2 linked regions of the Arabidopsis thaliana genome follow. The protein of the gene in region 1 interacts with the protein of each later gene in a biochemical or structural test. Each region holds a gene or a part of one and is shown on either strand. Other genes may lie near its edges. The genes, in order: UFD1 and PI4K GAMMA 4.

Region 1 (5,215 bases):
TCTATGTTACCTTTTAAGAATAGGTCAAGGGAAGCATAATGCTATTGGTGCTGGTTGTTGGCAGGAGTTATTAATGGGACTGCGCCGAATCCGGTTAGGCTTGGGGAAATGTGCCAGCAGCTAGGCAGTGTTCTTAGCCGACCATCGTGGCTACCAGTTCCTGACTTTGCACTCAAAGCTTTGCTCGGAGAAGGTGCCACTGTAGTTCTGGAGGGACAGAAGGTATTACCTGTAAGAGCCAAAGAGCTTGGTTTTGAATTCAAGTATAAATACGTGAAGGATGCACTCAGAGCCATTATGCAATAAGGTGACACACATAAGCATCTTTGTAAAATTGGTTTTGATCACAGAAAATCCCCAGAAAAACAAGATATTCTTTTCTTTTCGTCTCTATATCTTTCTTTTTGAGTAAAACTCGAGAAATGTATTTATGGTAAAAAGTGTTTTCGGTGTTATCTCAGAAACCAGAGATCACAGATGTGTTGAGGATATTATAACTCAGACATAGCATCTTTCTCATCTATGTTCTTTGGTCATTGGTTCATTGGTAAAGAGCTACAGAGCATGGCTTGCTATTCATGAACACATTATGTTAGTGAGGTGCTCAGAATCTTATATCCTACAGTAAGAATATAAAAGAGCAGAGAATTGTAGAAAGTTGCATTGAATCTGATAAAGAAAACAAGCCGCGTCAAGAGGAGCCAGAGATTTATTCACTTATTTGTTTTCCTTGTATTTTTAGTACACAACATGAGAGGTCATAAATAGACTGAGTAGACCCATTGTGTGAGTTGATCAACCCCTCAATGAATACTTCTTCCCAGAGAAAGCTTGAAACTTGGGCTCGTCTTTCTTCTCTTGTTCCTCTTTCTTTGTCTCTTTTGCAGCTCCAACCTGAAAAAAAAAATTAAGAGATGAACAATCATATGCATTTGTCTCTCAATTCCATTACAGTTTTTGTTTTGTCAATTATCAATAAACTCTGAATGCGTACTTTCGGAGCAGCTTCTTTTGGAGCACGGTTTCCGTTAGCCCCAAATACAAGCTTTCCCTGAGCTCGTGTAGCTTTCTCTGAGCTACTTGCTACAGATGACTGTCCATTACCATTAGCGACAACAGGTTGTTTGCCTTTTGAGCTAGAGGCTGGCGCTGGCTCATAGGCAAGAGGTCTCCCATCTAACCGTCTTCCAGATCCGGTGAAAGGGTTGAACTTTGGTTCAGGTTCATCCACAACCTCCTCAGCTGTGAAATTTGGAAAGAAAAGAACACATGAGAATCTAACAACTTGAAGCTGATAGTAAGTCCATCTGATGATTTCATGTCCATGGATAGATACCTTTTGCCGGACCCTTAGCTGCAGAAGGTGCTGTGGGACGTTCAGGCTCCTTGTAATCGAGGGGAGGTGCGAAATCAACCTCACAGTCTGTTTCTATGATGCTGATTGCGTTAGCAGGCTTTGTTTCAACTATATCTATGAAGTACTTCTTATTGTTGTATGGAACCATAATGCTATCCCCACTAGTTAGGCATGAATAATTTCTCAAAGCAGTCTCCAAGCTGCAACGTTCACTCAATTATCAGTAAAGAATATTGGGAACAAGATAAAAAGAGTGACATCAAACAACTACGAGCCAGAAAACGGGAAGAACTTAGATATAATAATACATTCTCTAAGCAATAAACAACATGATGTGGGAAAGTATATGAGGGCTCAAATACAAGAGGGTAGAAATAAGTCGGACTCACATGGCTTTCGGGTTGGATATATCCAGGAAGTCTGTTGTGTGGGGCTGTAGTTTAACGTAAGTTCCCTTTGGAAGAGTGACATTTCTAACTCTCACAATGTCTCCTTCTTGCAGCAGCAGATTCTGCATCATCTGGATTATATCAAAGAAGCAAACAATCAGTCTGGTAAGTCCACATGATCCAGAGTACTTCGATTCACAAACAAAGAGGAAACTGATTCTTACCCAATATGGCATGTAAATCATGCCTTCTTCTGCAATGAACTCAAGGACTCCACAGTGTGTAACACGTTCAATTCCAGCATTACGAAGCTCAAACAGCATCGGATAGTCAATATGCAAAGAGGCTGTAAAGTCCCCAATATTAGCGATTTGATATGTTTCTAAGTTAAACAAATATTAGACCAAATCCAAAAGAGAAAACCAGTAGGAGCATACCTAGACGATCAAGGGCTGATGGTGGCATTATAACTGAAATAGAATTAACACAAATTAAAACCTCAGGCTTGAACAATACAGATGGAAACAAACATTGGTGTCTAGATAGAAGACTTACTCTTGTCACCACTTTCAAGTTGTGGCTGCAGGGAAGAGAAAAGGAAATAGAAATTAGATACTAGATCTCAGCTTTCTTATAGAACTTACTTAGTAGAACATGACAACGACTAAGATTCTAACATTACAAAAGAGCACTCTCAGATTCACTTATCAGGGAATTAAACTAAAAGTAGAGAGATGAAATCAAACCTTGTCGATAAAAGATGCCGGATAACACCGGTAACTCTGCTCAAAGGTTGTTCCATGATAATGGTATCCATCGAAAAACTGCATCGAGTTTAAATTCCAAAGGTTTAGACAAACAAACCAAGGGTGCGAGATATAAAAGCTAGAGTGAAGACTAACGGTTAAAAAGGAAAGCTTTGAATACACTTACCATAGTTATTGGTGGTAGTAGACTAACAGAGTAAGTTAACAAATGGCAACCTACAGAAAAAGAAACCTCACACAAGTCAATTACAAGAGATCCAAATCATAAAAGAGAAAAAGAGGGCACTCTTTAATTTAAGGGTTTCAATAATCAATTGTGGCCAACAATTCCGACCGGAAGGAACATCAAAGTTAGTGACTTTAACAGATAACTAAACAAGCTATTATCAAAAACCTAAGACCTCAATTTCGAATCTCAGCAGAAGAATAGAAACCTACAAAATCGAAGAACCATCTACAACTTGCAAAATCCCACCTTTTGAAACAAACCCAAGTAAGATCCTTGGAAACCTATTCCTAAACAATTCACCGGAAATCCCCAGAACAGAAGATTCCGATCAAAAGTTGAGAGTGGGATCGATACAAACAATACCAAAGCTAAAAACTTTACAAAATTAAAAGCTCGTCTTGAGATTATCAGAGAAGAATAAGAACTCAGAAACCACCGATTGAGCTGCCCGACCAATAAAATTACCTTTAGGAAGTAATTGATTCCAGACACAACCCAAGTAAAGATGCAAACTTTGAGGACCTGTGATAACGTTGCTTGTATATATATATACCCATACGGTGCGTATTGATTCATGTCTTTGTAAAACAGTTTGGGCTTCACAAAAAACGGTACTAGCCCATTGGGCCTCGAATAGTGAGGAATCATGACCACTTTATATTGACGTGTGCGTTACCAACTTACCATACTGGGAAACTCTCAATTCTGAGCAGATATCTACCCAATCACGGATTGAGGAGAGAAGCAAGAAGAAGAAATGGAGATTACACTGAACAGTGGCTTCAAAATGCCGATCATCGGCTTAGGAGTTTGGAGAATGGAGAAAGAAGAGCTTCGAGACCTTATCATCGATGCCATCAAGATCGGTTATCGTCATCTCGACTGTGCTGGTATAACTTAACACTGCTTAAAACCTTTTCTTTCTGATCTTTGTTGCTTCGGGTTTGTCAGGATATGTGAATAAAATATTAGGTTTTGTTTTAATTTGTTGAAAGTTGGAATCTTACTTGGAAATTATGTCTTAAGATTTGGGTTTTTAAGTATTTGGAAATTTGGAATCGTAGAATGATCTTAAGTCTTTGCTGTATCACAGACAATTGTTTTTGTTTCTTTGCATGTGAGTGAGTTGCTTTGTTCTGTATCCTGATTTATGAGTATCTTTTGGGGTTACTTGGTTCAGCTAATTATAAGAACGAAGCTGAAGTTGGTGAGGCTCTTACAGAAGCATTCACGACAGGTCTTGTCAAGAGGGAGGATCTCTTCATTACGACTAAGGTCCAAACGGCTTTAAGTTAAACTACTACATACCTTTGATATCAGTTCATTTCAGATCGAATGCTCTCTGTCTTGGTTTTGCAGCTATGGAGTTCAGACCATGGCCATGTTATTGAGGCATGCAAAGACAGTCTCAAGAAACTTCAACTTGATTACCTCGACCTTTTCCTCGTTCATATACCCATAGCTACAAAACACACGGGTTAGGCTTCAGCCTTGTTCATGAATATTATCAGTTTCGAGTAGAGACCATTGCATTTCAGCCTTGTTACTGGCTGGAAAATTAAGTTTTCTCAAGTCTCTAGCAATTGGCACACAGAGTAATAAGCTGTAACATGTAAGCCTTGTGCAGGAATAGGAACAACCGATAGTGCTTTGGGGGATGATGGGGTATTGGACATAGATACAACAATCTCTCTGGAAACTACATGGCACGACATGGAAAAGCTTGTTTCTATGGGTTTAGTCCGCAGCATTGGAATCAGGTTCAACTTCTCTCACTATCATTACAAGTTCTCTTGTTTAGTCGCCAATATATGAATTATTTGACCATTAGGTTTTTTGCAGTAACTATGATGTCTTTCTAACGAGAGATTGCTTGGCTTACTCCAAGATCAAACCTGCTGTGAATCAGATCGAGACACATCCTTACTTCCAACGCGATTCTCTAGTCAAATTCTGCCAGAAACATGGTATCTGTGTCACTGCTCATACTCCTCTGGGAGGTGCCACAGCCAATGCCGAATGGTTTGGCACCGTGTCATGTCTGGATGACCCAGTTCTCAAAGTAAGCCCCATCCTCTAAACCTTAAAAGTTTGGACTGAAACAGTTAAATAATTAAACCTTTTGTCTGTCTGAATTCATAGGATGTGGCCGAGAAGTACAAACAGACAGTGGCACAGATTGTCCTGAGGTGGGGAATTCAGAGGAACACGGTGGTGATACCAAAGACATCGAAGCCTGAAAGATTGGAAGAGAATTTTCAGGTTTTCGACTTCCAACTATCGAAAGAGGACATGGAAGTGATCAAAAGCATGGAGAGGAATTACCGCACGCACCAAACAGCCAAGTTTTGGGGCATTGAGCTCTACGCTTGATCACACACACACTCTCTCTCTCTATCTATCTATATGAATAAATGAAGCTTAAGAATATAATATCAGATAACTTCAACTTTTTTAAGAAAACCTAAGACTC
Region 2 (5,129 bases), about 10 Mb from region 1:
AAATTGAATGGAGACATGTTATAATTCAAATCATGAGAACCCTAAGCACACACTTTCTTTAAGATAACAATATTTATTTTGTTGGTTAGACTAAGAACATTATAGTCGGAGGATCTATAGAAAGATTGTATTTGTTCTCTTTAGATGATGCTCGCTAACAAACAAACCTTGTTAATATTTAAACGAAAACCTTGGCCCCTGCGATGGTCTTGCGTTTTGAACGTGGTAAGCACAACTGAAAGGCTTGGTGAAGCTTTGGATTCTGTCATGGAAGCTGTACCGGGTCTTTGGAATCGCCTGCGATGCAAAGCATGGCTTATGTGTATCTTTTCGAATAGGAAGAGGATGATCGGACCTTGGTACCTTAAGGAATTCAAAGCGAAGCTCAATGACATGAAAGACTTGAGAAAACAGAGACATCAAAAAGAGCTACAGGAAGAGCAGATTCAATACGAAAGTAACGATTGTGAATTGCTTCTGCTCATCTTTGAGTTTCGTTCTCATCGATTTGCCTTTTGAAGTTCCTGTAAGATTTTGACAGTTTTGGAGTTTCACAGTAGATTTGACGTCATTCATTGCTTATTAACAGAGAGACATGTATATCGTAGAGAAGAGCTAAATCTTACAAAGAGAGAAAACTATTGTAAACACTTAAATTGTCATTACCATGAAATATGTCTGAGTGAAGTTAACAAAACACCTTGAACATGTCCAAAGAATGACAGAAATGAAAAAGTTTTAAAAATACAAAAGCCAACAGGTTTATAAAAAGCAAACCAAAGAGTATATACCAGAGTTTTGAATTAAACAAGAACCATTTTTAGTGTTCCTGAGAGTGATCGAGATGGTAATCCATCACATCGGATAGGGCTTCGAGGAATGCAGCTTCGCTCGTCCCTGGAAGCACAGCTTCTTGAGCTTCCTCTACCATTTCCTCCACCAGAGACTTCTTGCTAAGTGTTTCTCTGCACATTATGGTTCCAATCTCAAATGCTGTTAGTCCTCTTTCCACTCCTTTCTTCAGTAGCATCGTTGAGATTCTGAGCGTTTGAGCCGTCTCTGCCGGCATTTTCCATCCATGAAACTTTAGTAGATCAATATCTTCCTCTGCGTCCAGTGATCTTATGTACTCTTGGGTCTCTGCAGAGTACGGTTTCCGGGCTTGTGGCCAATATAGCCACTCAAACGTGCAATCTTCAAACTGATGACGAAAACAAAAGTTAGTTTCATGACAATGAACACTATAGGCAAAACTGAATCCAAGAAAGAATAGAAAAAGAGTAAGAGCACTTACGCTTTCAGGCAAGCAGTATCCATGGTCTATAGGAACCAAAACGAGCTTCCCGCTTTCGTCCTTGGTCATCAAAATGTTCCCACCATGTCTGTCTGCGTTGGCCAGTCTAATATCCAACACAGAAATCTTATGAACTTCTTCTACTGGAAATGAAAGTGGACCCATATCTTCACAGCTGCCATCGTTCTCAGTAAACATCTGAAGTGATCCAATCTTGGTTTTGATTCCTTTGGGATGGTTAAACCCTGGATGCAAACATTCAATCATAGCTGTGGGAGGTACACCAGCAAAACCTATCTCTTCACCAAACATAGATTTGTTTCCACTTTTGGGATGATCCAAAATGTATGCAGCGACTTCCCTTAATGCACCTTCTCCAACCTTTGTTCCTTTCTTCAAACCTTCACCGTTTGGCGAAAGTGGTAAACCCTGAGGATTGTTCTCAGCCATTGGTTCCTCATCTATTGGCTTAAACACACCCACAAATTTGTTGCCAGATGGACCCTGCATGAAATAAGCTCCTCCCGTACCTTCGCTTGACCTGACCGGAGAATTCCCACTTTTAAGTCCATCAGAAGCAGACTGAATCATATCTTTAACCACCAGAGGTACTTTAGCCTTGGAGTTAACAACTACCGGCTCCAAAGAAAGCTTTTTTGGTGGCACAATGCTCTTAGCTTCACGACCCTTCTTATCTTTTGCTTGTGGGGCAACAATAGACAACTCAAAGTTCTTCTCCACCGGCTTAACTCGAACTTTAGCAGATCTCCGCACAAGCAGATGCAAAACCGAGTCATCGTTTCTACAAATGTCATTAATAAGACTCTGGTCTTCCAACTTCTCACCTTCGTAAAGAATCTCCTGTTCATCAGGATCAACAAAGTCTCCACGCTTTTTCGAAATCTGCTTCTTCACATACCCAATGTTTCTCCCTCTCTCGACATGAAACCTGCAGTGTTTCCCACAGGTAGTCTTAACATCAAGAACCTGAAGATCAGAGAGCTTAAGAACCAAGTGGAGAATGTTGCCTTCACTAACACCATAATCACGCATATTAGAATTGCTTCTAGCTAGCTCTCGACCACCGAAAACAAGCTTCTGATTCCTCACAACAAAGCCGCGGTAAGACTGAATCCGAAGCTTAACAGACTCAATGGAATCAGACTCAAGCACTCGCATTGGTATCACCGATCCAGGAAGTGTAAGGTAAATCATGATGGTGTCGTCAGGATAAGAATCAAGACAAGAATTGGCACGAACCAGAGGCATAATCAATGGCTCGCTACGAACCGGACTTAACGCAACACCAGCTGATGACATCTTCTTTCACTTGGAGAAATCTAAGAACTTTCTTACGGAAAAAAACAGGATTCGATGTTCTTCACAACACAAAATCCCTCAGCTTCTATATATATATATACAACAAACCGCAATAATCCCTAAAATCCCAATACCATCGCTTCTTCTTCTTTTTCGAGAAACAACAATAACAAGCCCTAGGAAAAAACAGAGGAGATCAAACCTAAACAGATCAGGGATTGATTGATAGCTACAGGTGAATCAAATCGAGCCAATTGATGTCGCCGATGACGTACCATATGAAGAAAAAAGAAAGAGAGAAAGAGAGCGGATTCTTACCAGAAGGAAAGAACCAAAGAGGAAATTGGGACAAGGCGTGGAGCTTTAACGATGATGATCCAATCCAATAATAGAGTTTTTAGGGTTCAATCTAATGGCGTACAAAACAGCTCGCGAAACAAGGGTCAAAAGAGTTTAGAGGAAAGAGAGAGAGGTTTTTCAAAAGGAAAGTGGTAGGAAGGACACGTGTCTCCACCTCGTTCGCGTAGGTGACGCGTACAATGAAGCTTCTTCTTCTTCTTCTTTAATGTACACTTTTCCTTTGTTTATTGTCAACGGTGTACGGCAGTTTCGTTGATTTTGTTTTGTATTTTACCCTTGGAGTGGAAACCAAGCCAGAGACTTTGGGGTTTTAATCGTCATTATTTCACCGTTTTGGATTAGGATGCTTTTAAAACTTCGGATAAGGAGAGAGTTAGTATTTGAATCAATGAACCAGTACAATCGTAATTCGTATGGGCCTACAGATAAAAAGATGGGCCTTTTAATTCGCTTCTTTAACTCGTTTCATATCCCTTTGTTCTATTCAACCTTTCAGGCTTTCTGCTATGGAACATGAATATTGTTGGTCCAGTTGCATCTTAACCAGGTTCATGAACATCTAACTAAGATTCAATTTGATAGCTTTATATCTTCAAAATCTCATGTTTGATCTAAGTAAACATAACATCGACAATTCTCTGTTTGTGACTTCTTGAGAGTCTCCATCACCTTTATAATGATCACACCAAATCCAAAACCAGAAAATCTCTTCAAAAGTTGTATATAATCAAACCATCTACTTGGTAAAAACCACAACTTTTCTACTGCAAAACTCACGTAAGTCTCTCGTGCTTCTGATTACAGTAAAGCTAAATTCGAAATGCAAACGTAGTGATTAAATGATCCTCAAAGCTGAGAAAAGTTGTCATTATTCAATCAAAAGATTAACAGGCTTAGAATTCCATTTTAAGCCTTACAGAATCAAATACACGAAACCAGAAACTGAAACAACACACAACAAAAGCTTGAAGGTAAAAATGCAACATTGCATCAAGTTCTTATTCATAAAACAAAGAAGATAAAAGGAAAGACCTTTTTTTTAGCCCACACTATTCATTCATTAACAGGTGATGATGATCGAGAGTGTTCCTTAGATCCCAAAAGATGTTTACTTGGTTTCAGAGAAGAAACAAGATAATATCTTTAAGAACGATAATCTGGAACAATCCCAAAGACATCACAATCAAATTCCTTGTCATTTCTTGGTGAACATAATCCGCCAAAATCTCTTCCATTCCTTCATGTATGTGAAAGACTACAGGGATTTTGCGTAAGAAAGAGCCATTAGTGTAACCTCGAGAAGACGATTGACGCGAGAATTTGGCTGCCTTGTTGAGTTCAGATTGCCCAATTGAAGACGAAATCGAGCGATCGGTGACGAGATTGGTTGAATCTGGTTTCAGTTTCTGGGCTTGTGCGAAGGGGATTGAAGAGAGGTCTCTTCCCAGTGGGTTTCTCACGGCGGCGGTGGCGGATGCGGAGGAGATGTGACTCATCGAGAAAGGTAGAGACTTTGAGAGAGTGGCTCTCTGGGTTTGACGGTGGAGATCGAGGATAGTGCGGCGGAGAGACATCGTGGCCGAGGAGATAATCTGACGGAGAAGGATTGAAATTGGATCTGATCGGAGAAACAAACCCTATGTGAAATGAATCGGAAGCACAATTCTCGTCGTAGAGGTGAAGATGCATTAATGGAGTTGGGCTTTATACTGGGCTTTTCAGAACTACCAGAAGCCCAAACCAAAACCAAAATAGATTATTATGTGCTGCATTGCATAAAATAATGGACCAATGGAAAAAAAATAATTGATTCTCATTTTTAAGTAATTTTTAGCTCAGTCTCTTGAAATGTCAATATATCATATTCATGACCAATATATAAGATTTGGTCACTTCAAAATTCAAATGTACATGAACATTCTACAAGATAATTAATCAAATATTTACCTGAATAACATTGATTGGATAATATTAACTTGTTATAACTATTGCTTTATTTGAAAAAAAAAAAGAATGGATCCCAAATTGTAACTGAATAAAGCATCCATAACAAAGAAAGAGAAGTCAAATATCTTTCATACTTTATTTGATTTTCTAAAGTATAGGAAATATTTTCCCAAGATACAAATATGTGAATCAATGGTCTAAATAAAGT

The links.
Region 2: of the proteins of UFD1 (region 1) and PI4K GAMMA 4, one has a biochemical effect on the other in vitro, tested with the Arabidopsis thaliana proteins (one study listed by BioGRID).

The regions. Positions count from the first base shown.
Region 1 is NC_003071.7:9,105,593-9,110,807, reverse strand, and holds UFD1 (ubiquitin fusion degradation 1), read right to left. Parts: upstream 3,243-5,215; 5' UTR 2,968-3,242; coding exon 2,952-2,967; exon of another isoform or gene 2,730-2,951; coding exon 2,680-2,729; intron 2,571-2,679; coding exon 2,493-2,570; intron 2,327-2,492; coding exon 2,302-2,326; intron 2,217-2,301; coding exon 2,184-2,216; intron 2,093-2,183; coding exon 1,971-2,092; intron 1,878-1,970; coding exon 1,747-1,877; intron 1,558-1,746; coding exon 1,337-1,557; intron 1,243-1,336; coding exon 995-1,242; intron 895-994; coding exon 796-894; 3' UTR 547-795; downstream 1-546. Other genes in the region: SULA (NAD(P)-binding Rossmann-fold superfamily protein), read left to right, coding at 65-306; AT2G21260 (NAD(P)-linked oxidoreductase superfamily protein), read left to right, coding at 3,500-3,632, 3,923-4,017, 4,102-4,219, 4,370-4,502, 4,585-4,804, 4,885-5,115.
Region 2 is NC_003071.7:19,085,921-19,091,049, forward strand, and holds PI4K GAMMA 4 (phosphoinositide 4-kinase gamma 4), read right to left. Parts: upstream 3,310-5,129; 5' UTR 2,933-3,309; exon of another isoform or gene 2,791-2,932; 5' UTR 2,615-2,790; coding exon 1,295-2,614; intron 1,202-1,294; coding exon 821-1,201; 3' UTR 572-820; downstream 1-571. Other genes in the region: SDH4 (succinate dehydrogenase subunit 4), read right to left, coding at 4,093-4,548. UniProt on the Arabidopsis thaliana protein: The phosphorylation of phosphatidylinositol (PI) to PI4P is the first committed step in the generation of phosphatidylinositol 4,5-bisphosphate (PIP2), a precursor of the second messenger inositol 1,4,5-trisphosphate (InsP3).